Linked DNA regions of Mus musculus. The protein of the gene in region 5 interacts with the protein of the main gene of each other region in a pairwise test. Links are inferred from orthologs where the notes say so. Each region holds a gene or a part of one and is shown on either strand. Other genes may lie near its edges.

Region 1 (4,132 bases), on a different chromosome or scaffold from region 5:
AATATGCACCTCTGTTTTAGATAGATTTTTTTTTTTAAAGAATCCTAAGCCCATCTTTTTGGTCACTAATTTTCCTAAAAGATCAAAAGCCCTTGTGTTTTTCCTGTCAACTTTTTAAAATTTCAAAACGCTTTGAAATGATGTGTCTATCTCGTGAGTACATGCAAACGTGAGTGCAAATACCTTCGTTGGCCAGAAGGGGGTGTCAGGGAGCCCTGGAACTGGTTATAAGCCATTGTGAGCCTCTAAGAATTCCATCCTCTGTAAGCCAGACAGGCTTGACTACTGAGCCATTTTCTTTAGCCCCTTCCCCTAAAGTTTTGTTGTTCTTGTTGATTTGCTTATTTATTGGGACGGGTCTCCTTCTGGCTGGCCTGGAGCTGCCTTTCCAGCCTGCCTTGCAATCGGAGTGCTGGGAATACAGGCTTGGTCAAACCACTCCCAGCCTTCCTCAGGTCCATGATCTCAAGTCTTTCTCTTTTTCATCTCCTGTCTTATTTATTGCTCTTACTGATCTACTGATGTTCCTAGCTACATTGTAAACTTTGATGACCAGCACGTCCGGATGACTTAACAAGGATCATTCCACAACTGCCTGTTAGGCTGTGATCAGCTCTCTAACGCAATTGATGGTCTAGATCAATACGGACCCTAACTACATAAAAACATTTCCACGGATAAAGCTTAGGGATTCCCCGGTGCGACTTACAATGCAATATATCTGCAATCTACAAACGCTACAGGTCGCAGGCAACGAAAGTCTCAGCTAGCAGACAGGCCTTGATAGGGCTGACAAAGATGCTAATCGGACAGCCGCTTCTAGGGATAACTTCCAGGTTTGTTTGTTTGCAAGCTAAAAGCTTGAAGCAGAAACATGTGCCCGGCTCTCCTAAGGCCAGGTGGCGCTTCCCGGGTCGGGGTGGCGATCGCGTCAACTCAAGTAGAGACTCACCATCAGGAGTGTAAAGTTCGTTAGGTCGGGGACCGACTCCCCGCAGGGAACGAACATGACTGCAGTGGGCGTGGGAGCAGCTTGAGCGCCCGCCGGGATAGCGAGGCCACCTCCTTGGGACAGAAGGCGCAACTCGCGATCGTCCGGGGTCCTTCGGGTCCTTCGGGTCCTGCAGGCGTCCAGCGCGCTGCCTGCGCGCAGGGCAGAACGAGGCTGGAGCGCGCGGCGGGTAGCGCTCCCCGGGGGGCGTAGGTCGAGGACTGGCGACGGAGGACGTGGGGACCGCGCGCGCGGGATCCGCGAGGACGAGGAGGCGGAGCGGTGGACGGCGTCGATCAGGCGGCTCACAGGCCAGCCCCGGCGTCTGTCAGTCCCGCACCGTTTGAAGACAGTTAAGTTAGTTGGGGCGCCGCGGCTGCCGGATTCCCGCCCTGCCAGGTCTGACGCGGCCGCGGCGCTTTGTGCTCCGCCCGCCGCTGATGCTGCGCGCCCGGGACGACGGGCTCCGCCGCTGCACCGTGTGAGGTGGGCGACTAGCGGCCGCGAGGCGCCAGCGCCGGCATGTCGCTGCCTCCGGAGAAAGCCTCGGAGCTGAAGCAGCTCATCCACCAGCAGCTGAGCAAGGTGAGGACCTCGGGCGGACCGGTCCCCGCAACCGGAGCTGCGGAGCGGGCGCGGGCGGGCGGGCGGGCCGGCAAGCTTCGGTCGGGTGTGAGAGCCGAGGGAGCCGCTGTGAACCGGAGGCGGTCCCGGCGCTTTCCAGATGTCCACGTACAAGTTAGCCCGAGGCCAGATGTTTAGGGTCCCTTTACACCAGGAAGGCCGATGGCAGTAAGAAGTTATGGGAGACGGGGCGCTCAAATGACTGACAAGGAACGCGTTTACCCCACTCGGGGCTTCCAGGAGTCTTCCCTTCTGTCCTCGACTGCCGGCTGTAAGCTGAAGTAATAAAGCCTCTTTATGGTGGTGGTGGTGCGCCAGGGCTTGTGGCCAGAGTCTCTAGCTTCTTTGGTCGAAACCTCAAAACGGTCTCGTTTTTCCTTCGCACGGGCAAGGAAATAGACGGACAAATTAGAGTTCCAAGTTGAATAAGCGAGAAAGCTGAAATAACTCGCTCTTTGTTCTGCCTCCTTCCAGGTCTGCGTTCTTTTGATTATCCTCCATTCCCTCCCAAAAGAATTGCTTCCATTGACTTATTTGCGGGCAACCAGCAATAACGGTTGATAACCAACCAGTTCAGATTGCTTCTTATGTTGCTCAAAAGTTTCACCTCTTAAAAGGCTCAATTTTTATTGGCACTGGGTATTTGCCATTAGTTTTAGAAGCCTAAAACTCTACAAGTGGTATTTATCTACTTTATAATGTTATAAGTTGCTTTCCTGTTTTTGTTTTGTTTTGTTTTTTGGGGGGGTTGTTTGTTTGTTTTTGAGACAGTGTCTCTTTGTTTAGTTTGTCTGGCTGGCCTGGAACTCAAGAGATCCTCAGGTCTCTGACTCCTGGGTGCTAGGAATAAAATTACACCACCACCACCAGGCGTAATTTTGTAAATCTTAATGTGTGGTTTCTCCATAGATGGATGTCCATGGCAGAATAAGAGAAATTCTTGCAGAGACTATACGAGAAGAATTAGCACCGGATCAACAACATTTATCAACAGAAGATCTGATCAAAGCTCTAAGACGTCGAGGAATCATTGATGATGTAATGAAAGAACTTAATTTTGTGACTGTGAGTAGCAGTTTACAACATAAGGTCCACACTCGTGGCTTCTCTTAGAACTACCATAAGTTCACTCTGTCTAGTAATAGCCATTTTTCCTAGTTTTTAAGAAGAATTTATATGTATGGCTGTTTTGCCTACATGTAGGTCTGGTGCTCACAGTGTTCGGGGACAGCTGTGATCCTCTGGAACTGGAATGAGCCACCAGCACGATGCTGGTGGGGGGAATTGATCTCAGGTCCTCTGGAAGAGCAAGTGCTCCAAACTGCTGAGTCATCACTGCTGCCCCTGTAATGTTCTTCCCTCTGTCGCTGCTTGTGTTTCCAGACTGGGTTTCTATGAGTAGCTCTGGTTGGCCTGAAACTCATTTTATAGACCAAGGTCTTAAATTCACAGAGATTGCCTGTTGTCTGCCTCCTGAGTGCTGGGACTAAGGGCATTTGTGTTCATTGTCACCGCCTGGCTCCTTTTCTGAGAGGTTCTAAGTTGGCCCCACCGTGAGTTGGCAAATAGAGAGTTCATGAGATAGGAGTTGTTGGACACTGTATTTCTTTCGCTGACGTGACAGAAACTTACGCTATGCTATAGCTCTCTAATTCATTTAGGTTAGGTTTGTTTTAAAACAAATACACTCACAAGATTCCATCAGAAAAGCTCTGGCTGCATAAAGCCCTCATTTCTCTGTACAAATAGGTCAGTAATGGGATATATCCCGGTGCATTTTGTAAGTAGGCCTTATTTTGAAAATGAGGCAATAATGAAAAACTGTGGCCTCAATACAAGAGTCATATTCTACTAAAAATAGGATGGACTTCATAATACGCTAGAGAATCGGGTATGTTAATACACTAGCCTCTTTTGGGTTTTGAGGTTTGCAAACCTATTTGTTATAAAAACTGACCCATTAACAGCCTCTGCTTCATAAATGTTACTTTTTAAAACTCAGTTCGTGGTGGGCTAGAGAGAGAGAGTTCAGAGGTTAGGAACACTGACTGCTCTCCCAGAGGTCCTGAGTTCAATTCCCAGCAACCCATATGGTGGCTCACAACCATCTGTAATGGGATCCGATGCCCTCTTCTGGTGTGTCTGAAGGGAGCGACAGCAGTACTGCATAACACTGGCTGTCTTAGAACTGTGTGCCAAGGCTGGCCTTAAACTCACAGACCGCCTGCCTCTGCCTCCCAAGGGCTGGAAGCAAAGGAGTGCGCCACTCTGATTAACCAACTACTGTACAGGGCTTAAAGCAAGTGTAGCTTATTTAAGGTATCAGTTTGTTTTTTAAAGCCAGGCTTGGCAGCTCATGCCATTTCTTCCAGCATTCAGGAGGCAGAGAGAGGCAGAGCTCTCTGAGTTCAAGGCCAGCCTGGTCTACATGTGTTTAGCATTTAGTGGATGGCAAGGCTTAAAGACAGTTTAATCCCTTCATATTAGACTTTTCCCAGTTAGATCTCTTTGGCTAAG
Region 2 (3,159 bases), on a different chromosome or scaffold from region 5:
TCTTGCCCCTTCTCTTTTCTACCTCTGTGGTCCTCGGTTTCCTACCCTCTGACTTCTTTTGATTGCCACTTTGTGCCTGGAAGCCAGTGGTCAGTCTCCCTCTCTGCCCTGCCCCCTTTGTCCTGAGCATTTCCCTGAAAGGCACACCTCCCTCTTGTGTGCAGGTGGCATTCTTTAATGCCGCTATAGCCAGAGCAGAGGAAGAACAGGCCCGACTACGTGTGCAGCTGAAAGAGCAGAAGGCACGTTGCCGGAGTTTGTCTCACTTGGCAGCCCCAGTCCAAAGCAAGCTTGAAAAGGAGGCAGTGGTCCCCAGGAATGTGGATGACTCTGCATCTGAGGAGAGCAATCAGGCCCTACATGTAGCCATGGAGAAGCTGCAGGTGAGTTTGTCTGTGGGGGCTGGGAGTGTGGGGGCCAGCCAGGGCTCCTGAGTCCCTGAGACCTCTGTCTTGGCTCCAGAGCCGCTTCCTGGAGGTCATGCAGGAGAAAGTGGAGCTCAAGGAGAGGGTAGAGGAGCTTGAACATTGCTGCATTCAGCTTTCTGGAGAGACAGACACCATTGGTGAGGTGGAGCCCAGCCCAAGGCAGTGGGGGCTGTGCAGGGGGGTAGACTGGGGGAGCCACAGTGTCTGAGCCTTGTCCACCTGCCTGCCGTCTCCACAGGAGAGTACATTGCCCTTTACCAAAATCAGAGGGCGGTGCTGAAGGCTCGGCATTTGGAGAAGGAAGAATACATCAGCCGGCTGGCTCAGGACAAGGAGGAGATGAAGGTAGGCCTACACTTCTGTAGTCCAGGCCCTGCCTAATCTGGGCTGGGCCCTTCAAGTTGAGCTCCTTTTTCTCCAGGTGAAGCTGCTGGAGCTCCAGGAGCTGGTGTTGAGGCTTGTGAACGAGCGCAATGAATGGCAGGGCAAGTTCCTGGCCGTCTCTCAGAACCCTGGTGACGTGCTCACCCCAGTGCCCACAGGCTCCCAGGAATTTGGTGCTGCTGACCAGCAGGATGGTGAGTAGAGCTGTTGTCTCTTGGGAAGGCACAAAGGGGAGGAGTCCCATGGCGTGCAGAGCCATGACCCCCTCCCCCTTTCTCTAAAGACCTCAGGGAGGTGAGCCTGGCTGACGATATAGAGCCTGCACAAGGAGAGGCAGGGGTACCTGCTCCCCATGAGAACCCTACTGCACAGCAGATCATGCAGCTGCTGCGTGAGATCCAGAACCCCCGGGAGCGGCCAGGCCTGGGTAGCAACCCTTGCATCCCCTTTTTCTACCGTGCCGATGAGAACGACGAGGTGAAGATCATGGTTGTATAAAAGACTGGCGGCCAAAGCCTCAGCAAGGGCAGCCAGAGGTTCTGCCCCAACCCACACCCTTCCTCAGCCACCCTTATCTTTATAATAATAATAAGGTCAGACTCCATCCCCTCCAGGGGCTGGGGAAGTAGCTCAGTTGGTAGAGTGCTTGCCTGCTGTGCACACAGCCTTGGGTCCCCAGTACCTCTGAAAAGGCTGATACCTGTAATTTGAGTGCTTGGGAAGTGGAGGTGGAAGAATCAGCCATCCTCATCTACCTAGTGAGTTTGAGGCCACACTGGGCTACATGCGACCCTGTCTGAAAAAACCAAAAGATCAGGCTCCTATCTTAATGGGGGACACAGACTGGTACAGATCTGCCTCTTAGCCAGGGCAGTTTTACTTTGTAAATTCCTGTTACAGAAAGAACGCCAGAGACTCAGTGATGGAGCAGACTGTGCTGGGTGGCCTGGGGGCTTTCTCACCAAGGAGGGCCTCAGGCCTTACTCAGGACTCTGGGGCAGAACAGAGTGGCAGCATTCTCGTGCCCAGGTGCAGTGCAGGCTGGTAAACTGGCCTAGCATTCAGCAGGGCTTCTAAGTTTTCACCGGCTCAGTCCTCCCTATCCTCCTTTTCCTCCCCGCCCCCATTTTATCTTCATTTTCTTTACGGAGTGTCTCCTGTAGCCCGAGCTGAGCCCCTGCCTCACCGCTGTGCCTGGTGGTTGGCAGTGCTAAGCAGGCACTCTACCAAGTGATTTACCCCCAGCACTCCCTGCCTTTTTCCTTTGTGTGGTGATGCTGGGGATGGAACCCAGGGCACAGCAGGTCCCCAGATCAACTCCCATCTTCTCAGAGGCACTTTAGGGCAGTGGGGCTGGGCAGCACTTCATGGGTCCTCAGGCAGTTGGGGCTAACTGCCTCAGGAAGGCATCCCACTTTGGAGGGCTTCCATCTTTTTGAGGCACTTTGGGACAGGGAAAGTGGGTACCATTCTCTCAGGCCTTATGACAATTGGGGTAACTACGCCAAGCAGGACAGAGGCTGCTGGGGCAGGGTGGCCTTCCCCTCCCCCGGTGTACATATTGTACCTGTGTACTATTTTGTATATACCGGGGTAGGGACACCCCTGTATCATAGTGGAGGTTGGAGCTGGCAAATGGGAAGAGCTTCTAATAATCACTTTGGGCTGGGAACCTTATTTATTGGTAGTGTTAGGTCAGAGGGCAGGAGGCGGAGACAAGGTTGTGGCACCTGCTGATGCAGCTCCTCTTTATTTTGCTTTTTACTTGGGAAATAAATGGATTTAGCCATACTGCTGGGCCTAGGGTGTTCGTCATTGGTTCTGGGGTTAGCCTCAGGCTGGCACTGAGCAGGGAATGTGTCCTGCCTGGAGAGAGCAGGCTTCTGGCCTGTATGGAGCCCAAGGTCTGAAGTGCCTGGCAGGGCTGATTGACACCTATCACCTATACACTGCCTATTGAAGCCTAGGGACCCCAGGGGGAGTACCATGGGGCTACAGGGACAGAGCTTCCTTACTGAGTAAGAGAGTCAAGCCTGACATATAGTATACATAGGTGGGACTCGGGGTGCAGCAACTAAGGGCGCTGACTTCCAGGCCAGGCCTCTTACATTCCGACCCTTCCCCTTAGTCTGTCCACACTAGAGACCTGTTTTGTTCTTTAGGCTGTTCACAGCATCCTGGCTGAGCTCATGATACTGCCCCCTAGTGGTGTAAGCAGGATTCGTAGGATGAGGACCTGCTAAACTCACAAGCACCCTAGCAAGGGCCTTTCCTCACCCTCCATTCAGTGCCCAGTTTACACCGTCCTCTCAGCCCCAGAGAATACAAACCAGCAGAGGTACACGCA
Region 3 (3,571 bases), on a different chromosome or scaffold from region 5:
GTACTCCATTGTGTAGATGTACCACATTTTCTGTATCCATTCCTCTGTTGAGGGGCATCTAGGTTCTTTCCAGCTTCTGGCTATTATAAATAAGGCTGCTATGAACATAGTGGAGCATGTGTCCTTCTTACCTGTTGGGGCATCTTCTGGATATATGCCCAGGAGAGGTATTGCTGGATCCTCCGGTAGTACTATGTCCAGTTTTCTGAGGAACCGCCAGACTGATTTCCAGAGTGGTTGTACAAGCCTGCACTCCCACCAACAATGGAGGAGTGTTCCTCTTTCTCCACATCCTCGCCAGCATCTGCTGTCACCTGAATTTTTGATCTTAGCCATTCTGACTGGTGTGAGGTGGAATCTCAGGGTTGTTTTGATTTGCATTTCCCTGATGATTAAGGATGTTGAACATTTTTTCAAGTGCTTCTCTGCCATTCGGTATTCCTCAGGTGAGAATTCTTTGTTCAGTTCTGAGCCCCATTTTTTAATGCTACCCTCTCTCTTAACTGGCCTTAAATACCTCACAAATCGTTGCAAAGTATTCCTCCACATTCGCTTTCCTTAGTCTCAGATTAGCTGCATGCCAGCCACAGTCCCCCCTTGTTAGATGAGTCAAACGTCTTCCATAAAGGACCTAGACAATCCTCACTTCCCTCCATACAGTCTTCTGTGTGTTCAGTCCTAGTCCTTCTGCTCTGGCTCTGTTCCTCTTGTAACTTTTCTTTTAATATGCCAGATGGTTTGATTCTTTGGGCCTTTTCTCTCTGTGGAATGACAATCTCACTAATGCCAGTATGTCTGGATTCTTGAGTACATATGCTCAAGTCTGCTCTAGTACTCTTCCTCAGAGGCCACTGCCCGAGTCAGTTGGCACTTATCACACTACATCCAGCACATCAACCTCATAACCTACATCTTTTCTTTATCTGACATGCATCACGTTTATTGCCTGCCATTCATAGATGAAAATTCCATGAGTTAGAAACTCAGTATTTCTACATATTGCTTTATAGTAAGTTCTTAGAATGCTGAGTGGAACAAATTAGGTGTTTGGCAATAAATAAATAAATAAATAAAATAGTTTTTACCCGGGCCACTGTAAGAGCCACCAAGACTAATCTTCATACACTCAATTTTTTTTTTGGCAGCCAGAAGATTTACAAATAAATGACAAATCAGGTATCATTTTGGTCAAGGAATTTGAAATAAAGTAGAAATAAAAGTGTTTTTATTCATGTTCATGTTGGGTGTCTCCAGCACCTTGAAGGAAGGTTAGGGGAAAGCAAGATCTGTCATTGGACGTGAACTGATAGGTTGTATAGCGGATGTCAAAAAGTAAGGTGAACGTGGGGTGATTTCTCTTTGTGGTTCTTTCCTTGTCCCAGGTTTCAGTGAAAGCAGACACCAGCAGGAAACCCTTGCCAGACCAGCAGGATCACAAGGCATCTCTGGACTCAATGCTGGGGGACTTGGAACAGGAACTACAAGATCTTGGGATTGCCACAGTCCCCAAGGGCTACTGTGCTTCCTGCCAGAAGCCAATTGCTGGGAAGGTGGGGTGATCTAGGATGTCAGGCCAATAGCTTCTGTGTTTGTGGGTGTCCAAGGATGGCTCTTTCTATTTATATTATAAGATGCTGGAGTACTTGTTATCAGTCACTGACTGCTTACAGTAATATGAACTAAGTGTTTTGTAAATATTTCTGCATTTAATACTTGAATCAACCCAATAAGGAGGTTTTATTAGAGTACCATTTGCACAAGCAATGAAGCCAAGAGCTCAGTGACACTGACTGGCAAGACCAAGGTCTAGTAAGTAAGAAGCAAGGGGGACACTTGAGTCCAGGACAGTCTAGCTTCCGAGTTTGAATTCCTAATCACTTTTGTTCACTGCCACTACTGAGATTACCTTTTATGCTGTTCCCTTTCTTCAGACATTCTTGGATTTATATGTAATCCATGCAATTTCAGCTAAATGTAACTTTAAGTTAGAGATACTGGGACTTACTCTGAATCATTATCACCAAAACCATGATACAGGGCTTTCTGATCTGACTCCAGAAGGATGAGAAACAAGGAGCTCAGATCTGAGGAGTAGAATCTGCTTGGCTTCTTGATCAGTCTGGTTATTTTACTTGTATATAACCCAGAGGTGTGGTCTATATGAAATGCAGCATGCAGAGTGCCCCCTAGGGGTACATTCTGCTGCACTGCCATGTCAGGCTTTATGATGTTCCTAGGTGATCCATGCTCTGGGGCAATCCTGGCACCCAGAGCACTTTGTCTGCACTCACTGCAAGGAGGAGCTCGGCTCCAGTCCCTTCTTTGAGCGGAGTGGCCTGGCCTACTGCTCAAAAGACTACCACCGCCTGTTCTCTCCACGCTGTGCCTACTGTGCTGCTCCCATCACAGATGTAAGTAAAGCCCCACCCTGACAGCTTTCATGCACTGTCTGACCGTGTATGCAGAGCCCTGGGCATGCTTTACAACTCTAAAGTCTTCTAATACCTCTCTGTGTTTCCTGTTCTCAGAAAGTGCTGACAGCAATGAACAAGACATGGCACCCAGAGCACTTCTTCTGCTCTCACTGTGGAGAGGTATTTGGTGCAGAAGGTAGGAGAGGGCTACAGCCAAGTGCAAGGGAGGGAGATGGGAAGGCCTACAGCACTATTCCTTGGGGACTGCTGTCTGCTGAGTTTTGGTTCTCAGCACTGTCACAAGTCCATTTCACACCTAGATGCCATCTCTGTATCTTTCTCCAACATTACTAAGTTTTATTTATATTGATTTTTTTAAATTAAAGAAGTGAAAATTCATCATTTAAAAACAGACTGTGACTTCATTAGATAACTTGGTAGGTGAAGCATTTGCTGCACCAATATGAAGAAGGCCTGAGTCTAAATCCCTAGGACATGCTTAGGAGCTAGGCCTGGAGCACACGCCTGTGACAGCAGGTGTTCACCAGGGATGTGAGGGCTGGAGAATCCCTGGAAGCCTGAAGGCCAGCCAGCCTCATGCACACTCTGCAACCAAGAGAGTGTCTCAAGCATGGAAAGAGAGGACTGCCACCCAAGGTTGTCATGACCCATATACATGTACACTGTACTCACACAAACATGCACCCACCCCATCCCCCACACAATGTGTCCATATCACTTAAATACATGAAACCATTGTTTCCCCTTGGAGTCAGCATTTGAGTTTCTTTCCTTTAGCTTAGTTTTCGCTATCCTTACCACTAATTTACCTGATAGAATTGTGAGATCCTTTTCTTTTCTATTTTTTTCTTTTTCCAATTTTTTATTAGGTATTTTCTTCATTTACATTTCAAATGCTATCCCAAAAGCCCCCTATATTCCACCCTCCCTGCTCCCCTACTCATCCACTCCCACTTCTTGGCCATGGTGTTCCCCTGAACTGGGGCATATAAAGTGTGCAAGACCAAGGGGCCTCTCTTCCCAATGATGGCCGACTACGCTATCTTCTGCTACATATGCAGCTAGAGACACGAGCTCTGGGGTACTGGTTAGTTCATATTGTTGTTCTACCTATAGGGTTGCAGACCCCTTCAGCT
Region 4 (3,571 bases), on a different chromosome or scaffold from region 5:
GGCCTGGCCCTTGCCTCCCATCAGGTAGGTGTTCCTGCACCCCATGTCTTACAGTACCCCATGACTACCACACCCCTGAGGCAGCCATATATGCTTCTGATATCAGGGGCCATGCACTGTATTAGTGTCTAAGGATGGCTGGTGGCCTAACCACATTTATGCACGTGTGCACACATGTGCGTGTGCCTGGGTGCACATGTGGAGCTCTGAGGATAACTTGTGGGCGTCAGTTCTCTTCTTTCAGCGGGGCATCAGGCTTGGTGACTAGCCCTTCCGCTGGCCCATGCCTCAATTTTACCTGAGGGAGAGCAGTTCCAAGTGTTCAGATCCCTGTTTCTGTAGGCTGTTCTGATTTGGCCCTGAGGGACACCAGGCAGGTGGGGGACAGGATTCCCTATCCAGAGGTTCTGGGGAGATATGGAGCACCAGTGAGGAAAGAGACACACTGGTCATCGGGGGTCAGTTCAGACTCCCTGACCTCAATACCCCAGTGGCTTCAATCAACTTTACTTCCTACCATGACCTTGACTGAAGCAAATGCCCACCGTGACCCAGTCCTGGCTCCCATGCACAGGTTCCTCCAAGCCCCTTGGTCAGCACCAATGGTCCAGGCGAGGAAAAGCTGTTCCGTAGCCAGAGTGCGGACACCCCTGGCCCCACCGAGCGGGAACGGTTGAAGAAGATGCTGTCAGAAGGGTGAGTGGTGTAGTTGGTGGAGCCTGCATGAAGCCAGATGGGCATGGCAGGGGCCTAAGGGGTGTCTTGTGTTCAGACTGAACTTTCGGGTGGTTTCTAGTGTCAGGGTCTTTTGTTTTGTTTTGTTTTTTGTTTTTTCGAGACAGGGTTTCTCTGTGTAGCTCTGGCTGTCCTGGAACTCACTCTGTAGCCCAGGCTGGCCTCGAACTCAGAAATTCGCCTGCCTCTGCCTCCCAAGTGCTGGGATTAAAGGCATGCGCCACCACTGCCCAGCAAGTGTCAGGGTCTTGATTGTCACTAAAGGAGTGTGATAGGGTAGGACATCCCCAGGATAGACCATTAGGATGGTTTTTCTGGGGTCAGGGTCCTGCAAGAGGTAAGGGACGTGGGCAGTAGGATGGGCGTGGTCATCGAGGTGAGACCTGTGGGGGATGTAGGAAACTACAGACCTGGGAGAGGTTCCTGCCTCTTCTGGAAAGGAGGCTGCACTTTCCTCATCATTCATACCCCCATCTCTTTTGACCATGGGCCTGACCCCTCTCCCCACCCCCCATTGCTTTCATGGCAATCTGGAGGGCAGGGATAGGCTTCCAAATATTTTTGGAGGTAGGGTCCTGTTATATATCCCAGAACTCATTATACATAGCCTAGGCTGACATTGTTCCTAAGGGGATTCTCCTGTCTCGGCCTCTGATGAGCCACAACTCCACATGTGGTTTCATGGTCCCACTCCCTGGCTTAGTGTTGCTTTGGCCCTGCTTAGTCCAGGATAGCCTCCTCCAGATGCCACTGTCCTGACCATGCACACCCCCAGCCCGGTGTCTTCCCTCCAGCTCTGTAGGGGAGGTCCAGTGGGAGGCAGAGTTCTTCGCGCTTCAGGACAGCAACCAGAGGTTGGCGGGAGCCCTTCGGGAGGCCAACGCAGCGGCCACTCAGTGGAGGCAACAACTGGAGGTCCAACGTGCAGAGGCTGAACTCTTGAGGCAGCGGGTGAGGACCCCTCACCCCACATCCCTTCTACCCATCAGTCCCCAGCAGGCCATTTCTTGCTGTAAAATGATTTGAAACTGTGAGAGCTTCATAGGGGTCATCAGGCCCTTCATGTCCCAGAGGATGGTAGGACCACTGGGTTGCATGTGTGCAGGTAGCAGAGCTGGAGGCCCAGGTGGCTGTAGAGCCAGTCCGGGCAGGAGAGAAAGAAGCAACCAGCCAGTCGGTGGAGCAGCTGGAGGCTCGGGTGCAGACCAAGGACCAGGTGAGCCAGGGGCAAGCTTAGGGATCGTGTCGTACTCTCCTCGGGAATCCAGGGCCTCTGAGGACACCTGGGACACCTTCTTCTCCAGGAGATCCAGACTTTGAAGAATCAGAGCACTGGCACCCGAGAGGCTCCAGACACTGCCGAGCGCGAAGAGACACAGCAGCAAGTTCAGGTTGGCTGCAGGACCTCAGCTGTAAGAGTGACCCCCTGGGGTAGAACAGGTCCCATCTGCCTGCGAGTGGAATAGGGCTGTCTACTTAAAGTTGCTAAGCAACCTCATACTTAGTCTTCCCACATCTGAGCAGTCTAAGGTCCCAGGGAAACTTCCAGAGACCTCAGCCAAGAGTATCTGGAGCATCTCCAGGAATGTCCTGGGGAGATGACCCTGTTGTCTTCGAGGGCGGGAGCAGATTGTGCAAAGGCCCAGGACCCCAGAATCATTGGCCCTCCTGGTCACAGGACTGTATTCCCAGGGAGAGAATCTACAGGAAGCCTGTTCTATGCATTTATATGTCACCCAGGTACCACCTATCATGGGTTTTTGTGTATAGTGTATGTGCATACATACATCCCATGTGGGTACAGATGCGCATGCATGTGTATGGAAGCTGGAGCTGCTGTCTTCCTCAGTTTCTTTGCACACCATCCTTTGAGACTATCTTACTACCAGAATGGCTGGGTGCTGAGTCAATCAACAGTGGGACCCTGCTCTCCCACCCTGAGGTTACAGCTGCTGGCAGTGGCTGTGGGCATTAGATTATGTGTGGGTGAAAGGCAACTGAAATTCAGGGCCCTCAGGTAACCATCTCTTTAGTTCCACTGCCCACTTCATTAAAAGTGCTTGGCTCCAGAGCATGCTATTAAGCATTCTTCCCTCCTTCTATCATGTGGGTACTGGGGATTAAACCTTCATCTTGGGGTTTTTGTTTTTCATACTGACTGTGTCTCTAGCAGCAGCTTCCCGAGTGCTGGGTTAAAGGCCTGTGAGACATGCAGTGCATGTAGCTTTAAGATTTAGTTACATGTGTGGTATTGTACACCAGTGCTTGGAAGTGAACTCAGGTCTTCTGGAGAAGTTCATACTCTTACCCACTGACCCATCTCTACAGTCCATCTTGTTTTTAGAAACAGGGTCTCTAGCCAGGCAGTGGCAGTGCATGCCCTTAATCCCTGCACTTAGGTGGCAGAGGCAGGATTTCTGAGTTTGAAGCCAGCCTGGTCTACAGAGTGAGTTCCAGGGCTACACAAAGAAACCCTATCTCCAAAAAAAAAAAATCAAAAAAAAAATAAAAGAATAGGAAGAAACAGTGTCTCTTACTGGCCTGGGGATGCTTAGGTTGTCCAGTATGCTCTAGGAATCCTGCCTGTCTTCCCAGCAGTGGGATTACAAATGCTTGCCAGCCATGCTTTGTATGTAGCTATTGGATTCCAAACTCAGTACTTCACACTTTAATGGCACTTTACTGACCCGGTGAGAGCCATGGGCCACATCAGCCATAACTGGCAACCAGAGCTTCCACCCCACCCCGTCTTCCCCGTGTAGGACCTGGAGACCCGGAATGCAGAGCTGGAGCAGCAGCTGCGGTCGATGGAGTGCAACCTGGAGGAGGCGCGGGC
Region 5 (3,571 bases):
CACAGACAGACCTGATCCCCGAGGGAGCCGAGCTCCAGTGAAGGGTGAGCTGGGGCCAGGGACTCAGGCTCCCTGCTGACCCGGTCCACTCTGCACTCCACTCCCAGTGGCCTCTGCACCACTCCCACTGGAGTATGAGACAGAGAAGGGACCCCAACCATCAGTTGCTCACACTGTAGGACAAGGACACAACTCTAGCAGGCACTTTGCTGCTCTTGTATGGTTTGACTCTGATTTGCTGAGTCAGATAAAGCAGCCCAACAGCTAATCCTTGTTAAACCCGCTGCCCCTGTCCACACAAAGTGACCAGAAGGGACCGGTCATCACCTTGTCTTCTTGGCTGGCCTCTCTGGTGTCTGGGAGCGGGAGGAAGCTGGACTGGAGAAGGGAGAAGATGTGGGACCACTCCTCTTCCACAGCTGCAAGTCAAGCAGAGAGACAATCTGAAACTACTACTGACAATATGGCTATGTAGGCAGATATTCTGACCTGGCCAGGCAGGAAGGCACACACCTTTAATCCCAGCACTAAGGAGGCAGAGGTGGATAGATTTCTGTGAGTTCAAGGCCAGCCTGCTCTACATAGTGAGCTCCAGAACAGCCAGGGTTACTGAGAGACTGTCTCAAAAAACTAAAAGAAAAAAAAAAATCAAGAAACACAGCAAAACTAAACCTTTCTGAGAGACTGGAGAGATGGCTCAGTGGTTAAGAAACACTTGCTGCTCTTGAAGAAGACCCATGTTTGGTTCCCAGCATCCACACCAGACTGCTCACAAATACTGTAACCCTGTTCCTAGGATGATGGATGCTTTCTGGCCTCACACAGGCTCAAATAAATAAAAATATCTTTCTTTTCTTTTTTTAAGACCATATCTTACTGCATAGCCCTGGCTGCAATTTACTATGTAGGCCAGGCTGGTCTTGTTAGAGTATTCCACCACATACTGCAAAATAATAAATCTTAAAAAAAGAAATAAAAGGACTGGAGAGATGGCTCAGCAGTTAAGAGCACTGGCTGCTCTTCCAGAGGTCCTGAGTTCAATTCCCAGCAACCACATGGTGGCTCACAACCATCTATAATGGGATCAGATGCCCTTTTCTGGGGTGTCTGACAGCTGCAGTGTACTCATATACATAAAAATAATAAATATCTTAAAAAAGAAATAAAGAGGTAATTCTTGTATTCATTACATATTCTAACAAAAATCATCTATAGTAAAAAGTACAGCCTCTATTTTTACAGATTCTGATATTCCATGAATATGAGTATTAGATACAAACTGGGCATGGTGGTGCAAGCTGAACACCTAGTGCTTGGAGGCTGAGGCAGGAGGATCACTACTAGTTAAAACCCAGCCTGAGCTGCATGCACAATAGCCAGGGATACATGAGACCTTGTCTCAAAAGGCAAAAGCAAACACCAAGGGCGACTGATCTACCTGCAGGAGCCTGTGCACCTCCTAGTGTCAATACCAATACTGGAGCCCAAGTGTGCCTGACAGTGGAGCTGCCTGGCTTCCCCACCTATGGGCTCTAACGAACTCTAAACAAGAATGACATCTACTTCATGAATCAAAGCTTACACTAAATCCTACTTGCCTATAAATCTCCTTTATACACCATTGCATACACTAGCAAGCGTTTGCTGAAAGGACCCTGATATAGCTGTCTCTTGTGAGTCTAGGCCGGGGCCTAGCAAACACATAAGTGGATGCTCACAGTCAGCTATTGGATGGATCACAGGGCCCCCAATGGAGGAGCTAGAGAAAGTACCCAAGGAGCTAAAGAGATCTGCAACCCTGCAGGTGCAACAACATTATGAACTAACCAGTACCCCGGAGCTCTTGTCTCTAGCTACATATATATCAAAAGATGGCCTAGTTGGTCATTACTGGAAAGAGAGGCCCATTGGACACGCAAACTTTATATGCCCCAGTACAGAGGAACGCCAGGGCCAAAAAGTGGGATTGGGTGGGTAGGGGAGGGGGGGGGGAATGGGGGACTTTTGGGCTAGCATTGGAAATGTAATTGAGGAAAATACGTAATAAAAAAAAAAAAAGAAAGTTTAAAATAAAGAAATAAATCTCCTTTACATTCCAAAGGGAACAAAACCTTTCTAAATCAGTACCATTTACTGCACTGGTCCATCTGCAGGTTGCTCCATCTGGACCAGGTTTGCTTTCTGTTCAGTCCCACTGATCTCGTTAATTTGCTTTGTATTCCAGTTAGCCTAGAGACAGGTTCAGTGCAAAGCAACAGAGGGTGAGCTGCATCCTCTGCTCCCGGCCCTGAGACATACCTGTGAGATGCCACGGGTGGAGCTGTAGGAGCTGGTGATGGCATTGCGGCTAGAACTGGGGATGCCTCCTGTGCACGCACTAGCCAGGGAGCTCACAGAGGAGGTGCGAGACCGTTTGTTCAAGTGGTCATCTGAGCTCTGGGAAGCCAGACTTCTCTTCAGGGAGCCAGGCCTAAGAGAAAGGAAGAAGTGTACATGCGCTACTGCAGGCGTATTCTGCTATTTCCACCATGGTGCCTCACCTTTCTGAATAAACCTGAAAGACCACCACAATGTTCCTCAAGGCCACTGTCAGCAGATGACATGGCTGCCTATGTCTGACAAAGTGACTGGGTAAAAGCACAGCACGGGAAACACAACAGGAAGGGTTACACCTTGACTGTGGTGTCATGGGGACAAAAACGTAATGTCTGTCAATGATCCCTCAATAAAGCTGCTAAGAGAAAAATCATTAAGCCTCTAACTGAAAGAGAAATCTCCCATAATCCTTTCTGTCAATGTGTGTTACCTAGCCCTACTACAGTATGGTCCTCTTACCATTTCCCAGGCAAGTGCATCAACCACAAACCAGTTCGCTGACAACTGCAGCAGAGGCAGCCAATGTTCCCCTCCTTCCACTAGCACACCATCATCTTGGCTCGCTCCCAGATGCCTGTGCCTCCTCTAGGCTGGAGCCTCCAAAGCCAGCCCCTGTCAGGCTTTCCTACCTCAGCAGTCCACACTGTGTATGCATGTCTCCCACGGTGCAACACAGTGAGCTGAGTGCAAGGCTTGACAGAGCCTTTTTACCACACTGGAACTTATGCACCTTCTATGCAAACTTCCTCTCATACACTCCATATCAACACTTCCTGCCCTGCAGAAGCCTGTGGTCCATTTGTGAAGGGTCAACTGCACCATGTTAGTGAAGCAGAGTGAGACAGAGCAAGCACGAGACACTGGCTGACTGCTTTAGTTAGTGGTTTACTTAAAGCACTGCTTACGGCCCATATCTAAGCATCACTTCACTTACTACTTGGAACAGAATACCTGGAAAATTACCAGTTTGTTGCTCTTAACAACCTGACCACAAGAGCTTACACCTGTCATCTATAATACACCTTTAAAACAAGCTGACTGCTCATACGCATCTGTAAAATCGCACTTGCTTATTCGTCCCACCTCATAGTTTAGATGAATAGAAGATGAGAATATGAACGGGCCCAGGACCAATCAAGATCTTTTTAGGAGCTATCCTGGCTTCAGTCAACTAATGAATCTCTCTTCTCTCACA
Region 6 (4,179 bases), on a different chromosome or scaffold from region 5:
TCTCAAATCCGGCTTAGAGTCAATAAATAGTAGTGGCTTCCAGCGAGACCAAGGGATCGAGTTTCCAGACTCTCAGTTCTAAGCACCTGAAAGAGGTCAGATGCTGGCCTGACACCTACTGGTCTTCAAGAATTTTCTGCTGCAAAGAGAACGCGGCACTGAGCGACCCTCGTGGGGATGTGATGGCTCTTCTTTCGGGTGCCACACCTGTTGGCAAGGTGAACGCCTCCAGAGAAGAGTTCTTCCCTCGAGCTTACGCTTGGCTGAGGTGTAGCCGGAGGGGGCCGGGTGGGGAGTCCACGTCTGCGTTTAGCCACCGGGACAAGGTGGGTGGGGGAGCGTTCCTTCGCTTGGTTTCCCCGAGAACCACCATCGACTGACTGCTCAGTGCACAGGTTACCTCGCTTGCGATGAAATGAATGATCCACAGTTAGCCCTGAGGAGTGAGTGAGGTCGGTTACCAGGGCTAGCTAGAGCTGAGGCGTTCCATGCCCACAGCAGATTTCGAGACCAGCAGAATTTGAAAGGAGGACCGGGAGGTCGCCAGCTTGTCCAGGCAGGAAAGGTGAGGGTGCCAGTGCAAGCTGGGGAAGCCTGAGAACTTTCCCGAGTTGCAAGCCAAGGCAGCAGGCGCGGGCCTTGCCTCGGATGACGCAGGGCTGGCGGGTTGGAGGGTTAACAGTAAGGATACAATGAGTCCTCTTTAGATGCTCACCCGGGGGGCACCAAGGGCACTTCGTAATTAGAAATCAGCCGACTTCCCCGCCCCCTTGGGTATTTTACCAAGTAGGAGCCAAATCCTGACACCCGTCGCTGCGAGTCTCCCAGGTTGCCTGAGTTGCACCCTGCACTCACCCTGTCCCCCTCCAACTAGGTTGCAGGGAGCCGGGGAGGCGCGCGAGCACCGATCGGTCACCACTCCAATGACCTCATCGCCCCAACTTCCCCGCCCCTTTCTCAAACCTGGAAGGCACAGTCCCCTCCGGTCGGTGTCGGGGATCCGGAGCCACAGTTGCGGAGAGACAACCCGGCCTCCCCTGGAGCGAGCGCCGCTCCAGCCCGGGTGCATAGAAGGGTTAAGGGCGCGGGCCGGCAGCCGCGCCGTGCGCTCGCCGTGCTCTGTGCGGCTCGCCGGGCCGCCTGCCAGAGGGTGCCTCCCCCCCCCCTCCCCCCCCATGAAGTCGGATCCTTGAGCTGCGGCGGCGGCAGCCAACTGCTCCATATTTGGCTTCTATTACACATTTACATACTGGAGCGAGCGAGCGAGCGCGAGAGAGAGCGCGAGGGAGGGAGGGCGGGCGGAGGGAGGAGGGAGGGGAGGGGGGAGGAGGAGGAGGAGGAGGAGAGAGCAGAGTATACCGCAGACATCATTTCTACTACAGTGGAGGAGCCGTACAGGACCTGTTTCACTGCAGGGGGATCCAAAACAAGCCCTGTGGAGCCGCAGCTAGAGCTACAGCAGCCGCAGGACACTGTGTCTCTCCCTCTGTTACCCCTTCCCCACGCAACCCCAGATCCATTTACACTTTACAGTAAGTGGCTATTTTTTTTCCTCCTCTGATTCTTTCTCTCCCCCTCCCCCTTCCACCCCGATTTAGATTAAAATCACCCCCTCCCGCACCCCAATCTGCTCTCTCCGGAGAGGGGCCAAAGAACATCCAGCATACACCCCCCCTCCCCCAGTCTCAATGGGCTGCACGGAAAACAGCTGGAAGAGGAGCGAAGGAAACCGACGCGTCGTGGTGTGTGTGTGTGTGTGTGTGTGTGTGTGTGTGCAGGCGCGCGCGCGAGTGTATGTGTGACTGTGTGTACATACACTAGTGCCCGGCTCCAGCCTCCCGGCTCGGGACCCCCTCTGGGAGCAGGAGCGGCTAGCAAGGGCAGCAGATAGGGGCTGGGTGGGCGGCCGCCAGGAGAGGGGGCGCGCCCGGGCGGGGGGCGCGGGTGGGGAGAACGGCGGCGCCCCGTTTCGGCTGCTGCCGGTCCGGCGGCGGCGAGCGGATAGAGCCCGGTCCTCCTCCTTCCGTGTGGCGCAGGGGGAGGCGGCAGCCGCGGAGGGTCGCGCTGCCCTCTTCGCTCCTCTCCAGTCCCCCCTCCCGGGTGGGGGCGGTGAGCGCTGCGGGGGCTCGAGGGAGGGCTGGGCTTCCCCGCCCGGGGTCGCCTAGCTTGACAGAGGCAACCCCGAGCTTGGGGTCTCCCCGCCTAGGCCAGCCTCTCGGGGCTACGAGGGGACCAAGAGGGGACTTTGCGTGAGGCTAGGGGCGCGGAGAGGTGGCGCCTCAGGAGGCAAGGGCGCGCGGGCCATCGCAGCGCAGCGGGAGAAGACCGGCCCTAGCTGCAGCTGCCACCGCCGCCCTGTTGGTGCGGCCGCTTCCTGATCCAGAGCAGCAGCAGCAGACGCCGCCGCCACCGCCGGAGCTGGAGCCGGGAGCCCGCGAGCGCCCCAGCCCGGCCCGGCGACTCTGCCGGCGCCCGCAGCAGTAGCGGAGGAGCTGCGGGCGCTGCCCTGCGCCGGGACTGCTCTGCTGCGCGGCGGCAGAGAGGGTGAATGAAGACGGGAGGAGGGGAAGGAGGAGGTGGCGGCGGAGGAGGCGCTGCGGGGATTGGGATGTGCCCCGGAGCCCCGCGGCTCGTTCACTCGGGGCCCGAGTCGCCGCCACTGCCACTGCCAGGGCTGCCGCCGCCACCGCCGCCGCCTCCTACGTGGTTGCAGCCGAGCGCGCAGGCCGGTCCCGCAGGGGGCAGGGAAGGGGCCGGACGGGCGGAGCGAGAGGTGAGGCGGGGTCGGAGAGGAGGGAGTAAGTGCGTGTGAGTGTGTAGGTGCGTGTGTGCGTGTGTTCGCGCGCCGGGCGGGGACCAGGACCATCGCGATGGGGAGCGGGGAGTGGGGGTGGGGGTCCACGGTGGTCCCTTGGTTGACTCTGCAGCGCTTCGACCTCTCTTGAGCCGCCTCCTTCAACTCTGTGGCTTGTGCGCTTTCATTTTATTTCAGACCACGTAGAGAGCTGACTGCAAGAGGTGAAACAATTCAGGTTTTCTAGGGAGATTGAGCAAGGACCTTAGTGGTGGGGGGTGGAAGTAGGGTGCTGTATCTAGACTCTGCCAGGGGCGCGGGGGGTGGGGTGGGGGGAGGATCAGGGGTAAGAGGATGGGGTTTAGTTCGATCCCGTGGCTGTCCTGTTTTGTTTTGCTTTCTTGCTGTATAATCCTACAGATAAGAGGGCAATATAAATACTTGGGGAAGGTTGGGAAATTGCTGAAGAGTAGTAAGGGCGGAAAAAAAAAAAAAGAAGCCAGTCGGAAGCTGGTTATATAATGCGCTATGTGGCTAACAAGAAAGGCAAGCTATTTTTATTTTGTTTACCGTATGTTGTGCAGTAGGAACTCCTCCAAACTGGTTCTGTCCCCGAAGAGGTTTCTTAGTTTGTCAGAGAGAGAGCCACAGGATACAATTAGTAAAATTAGAAGACCCCACACCACCTACAGAATAAAAAGTAATGCTTTAGAGTTCTCACCTCACATTCTGCCTGGTATGCAGGGGAATGTGTGTATGCCCTATGTTTCCCTGTAGCAACCTAGTAGTGTCATCTCAGTGACATTTCTGTTTTATAATGCGAGCTCTTCTTAATATTTAAACAGCACTGCTATAGATCGTAGGCAACAAGGTAGTTACATGCTGGGTATTTTTAGGCGCAGCTGGTTACTTTTTTGCAATAGTGTTTGCTAAACCGTGTCCAGCTTTATGAAGAGCCCTGCCATTCCTAGAAGCCTGGGTTAAGCCTACCCTCTGGTTTACTGATGGTGGGTGGGTAGCTAAGACAGTTTGATAGCCGAGGGTTTTTATTTTTATTTTATTTTTGAATGAAGCTTATGCCAGGGGAAGCTAGAGGTAGCCACCAGAGAGAAGAAAAAACATGCGCAAGAACTCTTGGAAAGGGATTGCACCATAACAGCTTAGCTGTGGCATTTAATCTCCTCTGATTGTCCTCTAACTGGCCACGCATCAGTCAATATTTTAGCAGCTTTGCAAATAAATTGGCTTGAACGCCACCTTCCACATAAAGCTGAGGCTGAGAAGCCTCCTGCCTGTCTGCCTCTCTCATCATAGATACTGTCTGTGGTGTTAGTTTTCTGTACACTTACTCCAGCCCTGATCACTCATGTAATTAGATCAGGTTG
Region 7 (4,361 bases), on a different chromosome or scaffold from region 5:
ACCCCACCAGCACAGATCCAATCTTATTATTATAAAAGCAAGTATACCATAAAAAAAAAAGGTTAAGTGACTTCTCCAACTAATGTATTTAATGAAAGGCAGAGCGTGGAATTGAGATGTCCTGCTCATGATCAATCTCACTATGTCCCACTCAATTACACTTGCAGATCCAACTTGCCACTGAGAGGAAAAGGAGAATTCGCTGAGGAAGTTTTAACTTTAACCTGGCCCTTACTGTCTGGAGGCTTTTTGGTTTTTCCTGGATTTTGAATCTTTTCCCTCAGTGTCTTCACATGCATACTCAGGGGGAGGCGCTGGAATTCCAAAGAGAGGAAAGCTGACATAAGGCTCATTAAGAAAAAGATCATTCACATCTCACCAGAAATCTATGCAGAACTAGAGAGGCCTCCTGGATCTGGTCTGACAAACTCTGATCCACGTTGCTTTAATTTTCCCTAAGTAGGGGTGGGGTGGAAGTAACATTTGTACTTTTGCCGGTTAAACTAGAGGCTCACAGGCCCAAATCCCTTTCTTGGGGGAGCAGCTACCCATAATGCCGCGGTCCCTTGGGAGCAAGGAAGCTGATAGAAGCAGCAGGTTTCAGATGGGGTCTGTGTTAGGACTATCTTGAGCCTCCTGCAGGATACCTCACAGTTACTTTTTTAGCTATGTTTGAGAGGCCAGCCTTGGCTAGGGCACTAAGTCAATTGCTCTGCTAGGCATTCACAATAAGCTCCGGCTTCATTCTCTGCAACAAGTTAACTCCGACAGCAAGAACGCAACAGTTGCGGTTGCAAGGAAACTACAACTTCTACTAAGATTAACAGCTTGCATTACTTGGGGAAAAATGTGGTTCCCATACGGAGCTAGGATTTGCCCCTCCCCCGGGGGGGGGGGCAAGATTATTGACCCCTAGGAAATAATCTAGGGGTTCTCCAAGCTCTTGGTTTTTGTTGGTGGTGGTGGTGGTTTTGTTTGTTTTAATGCCAAAGTTTTTACAGCTTCATGGAGTAGGAGTGAAGGACAGCCAAATGTCCCTGCATTGCAAAGGGCCTGGAACAGACAAAACACAGCCGGCCCCGGAACCACTCATATGTCCGTCGTCGCAGAAATTTAGGAGAAGCGAATCCCTGCACCTAGCCAGCGTTTCCACTCTTGGGTTTTCAAAAAGATCAAAAACCGGAAAAGACCTGCAAACTGGCAAATCGCTAAGAGGAACAGCCTAGCAGGTCTGCGTCCTTGGAAGCTGCGCAGCTTGGGACCCCAAACCAAAATCGCCCGGTGGGAAACCCCAGGGAAAGAAGGGTTCTTGCAGAGGGCTGGGGTTACTGAGTGCAGGCTGCAGGGAAGTACCTAGAGGGAGGGGGCCTGGTCGGGAGGACTTTCCAGCCACTCAGGGCTCATCAAAAAGTTCCCTGTGCATGACCCCAGTGGCTCATCGCAGGGAGTTTCTCCGATGAACCCCGGCCCTGGGTTTAGGCTTCTCAGTGGAGGACGAGCCAGTTCTTTTTCTAGTCTGACTGGCTTGGAAATTCCCCGCGCCTGACCCCGCCCCTGAGAAATCCCCTGCCAGCGTTTATAGGGCGCCGCGGCGGCGCTGCCGAGCCCACAACAGTCAGACCTCGCCAGCCAGCCGCCAGCAGCCTGCAGCCTGCACCCGCTCAGCCCCGCACAGCCATGTTTCAGCCAGCTGGGCACGGCCAGGACTGGGCCATGGAGGGCCCGCGGGATGGCCTCAAGAAGGAGCGCTTGGTGGACGATCGCCACGACAGCGGCCTGGACTCCATGAAGGACGAGGAGTACGAGCAAATGGTGAAGGAGCTGCGGGAGATCCGCCTGCAGCCGCAGGAGGCGCCGCTGGCCGCCGAGCCCTGGAAGCAGCAGCTCACGGAGGACGGAGACTCGTAAGTGGCGCCGGGCACCGGTGGGGGTCGCGCGGGGCCTGCAGCGCGCTCGGGGTTCTGCACGGCGAGGGCGCCGGGGTTGCGGGGCGCCGGGGCTGCGGCGGGCCGCCTGTCTTCCCCCCTCCCCCTCCTCCCCTGTCCCCGGACCCGGAGTCGCCGAGCGCAGGCCGGGGGGGGCGGGGCGGCAGCGGCGGCGAGGACGCAAAGTCCCGGCCTGGCAGCGGTGGCGCGCAGCCGCCGGGCGCCGCGCGGCCGCGAGGGGAAGTACAGGGCGTTCCGGGCGGCGGAGGGCGGGCCGGTCTGGCCGGCGCCCGCCCGGAGGGGGTGGGGCACGGAAAGTCCCTGGGCGGCTGCCAGGAACACTCAGCTCATAATAACCTCGCGGAAAACACCGCGGCCGCGGCCTCCAGAAACCCCGGCCTTGCGCAATCCCCCCTCCAACCCCACCTCCAGCCCGCGCCTCCCCCCCCCCCACGCAGTGTGCTCACCACCCCTCGGGGGGTTTCCCTGTCATCCCTCAGGTTCCTGCACTTGGCAATCATCCACGAAGAGAAGCCGCTGACCATGGAAGTCATTGGTCAGGTGAAGGGAGACCTGGCCTTCCTCAACTTCCAGAACAACCTGCAGCAGGTGCGCTGCTTGCTTGCCCCGCGGGTGCCCTCTTTGACCCCTTGGTGGAGTCAGATGTAGCACGGTCGCCCCCAAAGCGTTTCTAAATTAATAGTCACTTAGTTCTTATCTGCCTTGGCCTTTTGCATTCAAATCAGCCAACGTCTTAGAACCAGAAGAAAAATCCCTTGGGTTTAGTGAGGTCTTTATGACCCACCTAGGGCCTCCTGTTTGCCTGATCTCCTAAGAGACAAATGGGAGGATCAGATTCCATAGCGGGAGGTGTCTGGGGTTCAGGAAACTCAAGACTATGGGTTTGCTCCATGGCTTATCCCTTTCTGTTTCCTCTTCCATTTGTAGACTCCACTCCACTTGGCTGTGATCACCAACCAGCCAGGAATTGCTGAGGCACTTCTGAAAGCTGGCTGTGATCCTGAGCTCCGAGACTTTCGAGGAAATACCCCTCTACATCTTGCCTGTGAGCAGGGCTGCCTGGCCAGTGTAGCAGTCTTGACGCAGACCTGCACACCCCAGCATCTCCACTCCGTCCTGCAGGCCACCAACTACAATGGTAGGTCTGCCAGTCCATCCAAGGATGCAGAGGAGGGAGAGAGATGGGGCCACTTGAGTCTTAAACTCCGAACGTATACAAAGTTCAGACACTGTGATCTTTTTAAAAAGTTTTCTCCTCGATGCCTATATGATATTCACTCAGAACCCAGATTCTGAGTTCTTCAAAACTGATGATGTTTGTGGTTGTCCTCAAGACAATAGACATGAGTTGTGTGAGGATTGAAACACGTAGTTACAGTTTTTGTCTTCCTCCTCCAGGCCACACGTGTCTGCACCTAGCCTCTATCCACGGCTACCTGGCCATCGTGGAGCACTTGGTGACTTTGGGTGCTGATGTCAACGCTCAGGTGAGTACATCTCCCTTCCACCTAATCTCTGTTGGGCTGGCTCTGATGGTGAGCAGGTTTCCAGATGCAGCCGTAAACTAACGCCTGATTGCTTTTGGTTTCAGGAGCCCTGCAATGGCCGGACAGCCCTCCACCTTGCGGTGGACCTGCAGAATCCTGACCTGGTTTCGCTCTTGTTGAAATGTGGGGCTGATGTCAACAGGGTAACCTACCAAGGCTACTCCCCCTACCAGCTTACCTGGGGCCGCCCAAGTACCCGGATACAGCAGCAGCTGGGCCAGCTGACCCTGGAAAATCTCCAGATGCTACCCGAGAGCGAGGATGAGGAGAGCTATGACACGGAGTCAGAATTCACAGAGGATGAGGTGAGTGTTCCTCCCCTCAGCACGCTGACGGCTGTTCTAGGGCTGCTTTGGATCAGAGGGATTTCAGTTGTTTAACTTCTCAGACTCGGCTTGCAAAGCCAGGATCCCAAGAATTTGTCTCTGGTTTGTTTTAAGAGCTTACCCTTTTGGGTTGAGGAATGAGGGAATTCTAGAAATTGAACCCAGGCCTTAGCACATGGTGATAAGCACACGTTCAACCATTAAGCTCCACCCCCTCAATAGCTTAGACTTTTTTTTTTTTTAAGGAAAGAATAGGTAAGGGAAACTCCTACAGCCTGGTGCCCTTGTTCTATTTGGGTTAAGGAGAAAAAGAGCCCAAGAATAGGAGTTATTTCAGCAGCAGCTCTCCCCTTATCCCAATGTCTTGGTGAAGTTCTAGGAATTTAATATGTCTTTTTCCCCTCTCTTGTTTTAGCTGCCCTATGATGACTGTGTGTTTGGAGGCCAGCGTCTGACATTATAAGTGGAAAGTGGCAAAAAGAATGTGGACTTGTATATTTGTACAAATAGAGTTTTATTTTTCTAAAAAAAAAAAAAAAAAG

Evidence for each region.
Region 1: the proteins of Pom121 (region 5) and Cep76 interact in binary tests that used the Homo sapiens proteins (3 or more experiments, as listed by UniProt). The two-hybrid records come from large-scale screens. The link is inferred for Mus musculus from reciprocal best matches to the Homo sapiens genes POM121 and CEP76.
Region 2: the proteins of Pom121 (region 5) and Golga2 interact in binary tests that used the Homo sapiens proteins (3 or more experiments, as listed by UniProt). The two-hybrid records come from large-scale screens. The link is inferred for Mus musculus from reciprocal best matches to the Homo sapiens genes POM121 and GOLGA2.
Region 3: the proteins of Pom121 (region 5) and Lpxn interact in binary tests that used the Homo sapiens proteins (3 or more experiments, as listed by UniProt). The two-hybrid records come from large-scale screens. The link is inferred for Mus musculus from reciprocal best matches to the Homo sapiens genes POM121 and LPXN.
Region 4: the proteins of Pom121 (region 5) and Homer3 interact in binary tests that used the Homo sapiens proteins (3 or more experiments, as listed by UniProt). The two-hybrid records come from large-scale screens. The link is inferred for Mus musculus from reciprocal best matches to the Homo sapiens genes POM121 and HOMER3.
Region 6: the proteins of Pom121 (region 5) and Atxn1 interact in binary tests that used the Homo sapiens proteins (3 or more experiments, as listed by UniProt). The link is inferred for Mus musculus from reciprocal best matches to the Homo sapiens genes POM121 and ATXN1.
Region 7: the proteins of Pom121 (region 5) and Nfkbia interact in binary tests that used the Homo sapiens proteins (3 or more experiments, as listed by UniProt). The two-hybrid records come from large-scale screens. The link is inferred for Mus musculus from reciprocal best matches to the Homo sapiens genes POM121 and NFKBIA.

The regions. Positions count from the first base shown.
Region 1 is NC_000084.6:67,638,556-67,642,687, reverse strand, and holds the start of Cep76 (centrosomal protein of 76 kDa), read left to right. Parts: upstream 1-1,332; 5' UTR 1,333-1,513; coding exon 1,514-1,576; intron 1,577-2,524; coding exon 2,525-2,680; intron 2,681-4,132. Other genes in the region: Psmg2 (proteasome assembly chaperone 2), read right to left, coding at 953-1,009. UniProt on the Homo sapiens protein: Centrosomal protein involved in regulation of centriole duplication. Required to limit centriole duplication to once per cell cycle by preventing centriole reduplication.
Region 2 is NC_000068.7:32,305,311-32,308,469, forward strand, and holds the end of Golga2 (golgin subfamily A member 2), read left to right. Parts: intron 1-164; coding exon 165-383; intron 384-462; coding exon 463-565; intron 566-666; coding exon 667-773; intron 774-849; coding exon 850-1,006; intron 1,007-1,095; coding exon 1,096-1,310; 3' UTR 1,311-2,603; downstream 2,604-3,159. UniProt on the Homo sapiens protein: Peripheral membrane component of the cis-Golgi stack that acts as a membrane skeleton that maintains the structure of the Golgi apparatus, and as a vesicle thether that facilitates vesicle fusion to the Golgi membrane.
Region 3 is NC_000085.6:12,822,562-12,826,132, forward strand, and holds part of Lpxn (leupaxin), read left to right. Parts: intron 1-1,382; coding exon 1,383-1,550; intron 1,551-2,237; coding exon 2,238-2,411; intron 2,412-2,528; coding exon 2,529-2,610; intron 2,611-3,571. UniProt on the Homo sapiens protein: Transcriptional coactivator for androgen receptor (AR) and serum response factor (SRF). Contributes to the regulation of cell adhesion, spreading and cell migration and acts as a negative regulator in integrin-mediated cell adhesion events.
Region 4 is NC_000074.6:70,289,478-70,293,048, forward strand, and holds part of Homer3 (homer protein homolog 3), read left to right. Parts: coding exon 1-24; intron 25-574; coding exon 575-696; intron 697-1,529; coding exon 1,530-1,686; intron 1,687-1,840; coding exon 1,841-1,951; intron 1,952-2,039; coding exon 2,040-2,126; coding exon of another isoform or gene 2,127-2,147; intron 2,148-3,388; exon of another isoform or gene 3,389-3,497; coding exon 3,498-3,571. UniProt on the Homo sapiens protein: Postsynaptic density scaffolding protein. Binds and cross-links cytoplasmic regions of GRM1, GRM5, ITPR1, DNM3, RYR1, RYR2, SHANK1 and SHANK3.
Region 5 is NC_000071.6:135,384,526-135,388,096, forward strand, and holds part of Pom121 (nuclear envelope pore membrane protein POM 121), read right to left. Parts: intron 2,471-3,571; coding exon 2,299-2,470; intron 420-2,298; coding exon 328-419; intron 1-327. UniProt on the Homo sapiens protein: Essential component of the nuclear pore complex (NPC). The repeat-containing domain may be involved in anchoring components of the pore complex to the pore membrane. When overexpressed in cells induces the formation of cytoplasmic annulate lamellae (AL).
Region 6 is NC_000079.6:45,962,168-45,966,346, reverse strand, and holds the start of Atxn1 (ataxin-1), read left to right. Parts: upstream 1-1,355; 5' UTR 1,356-1,532; intron 1,533-1,721; exon of another isoform or gene 1,722-1,742; intron 1,743-1,962; exon of another isoform or gene 1,963-2,773; intron 2,774-2,909; exon of another isoform or gene 2,910-3,018; intron 3,019-4,179. UniProt on the Homo sapiens protein: Chromatin-binding factor that repress Notch signaling in the absence of Notch intracellular domain by acting as a CBF1 corepressor. Binds to the HEY promoter and might assist, along with NCOR2, RBPJ-mediated repression. Binds RNA in vitro.
Region 7 is NC_000078.6:55,489,843-55,494,203, reverse strand, and holds the start of Nfkbia (NF-kappa-B inhibitor alpha), read left to right. Parts: upstream 1-1,556; 5' UTR 1,557-1,677; coding exon 1,678-1,904; intron 1,905-2,425; coding exon 2,426-2,534; intron 2,535-2,873; coding exon 2,874-3,084; intron 3,085-3,344; coding exon 3,345-3,433; intron 3,434-3,537; coding exon 3,538-3,798; intron 3,799-4,234; coding exon 4,235-4,282; 3' UTR 4,283-4,361. UniProt on the Homo sapiens protein: Inhibits the activity of dimeric NF-kappa-B/REL complexes by trapping REL (RELA/p65 and NFKB1/p50) dimers in the cytoplasm by masking their nuclear localization signals.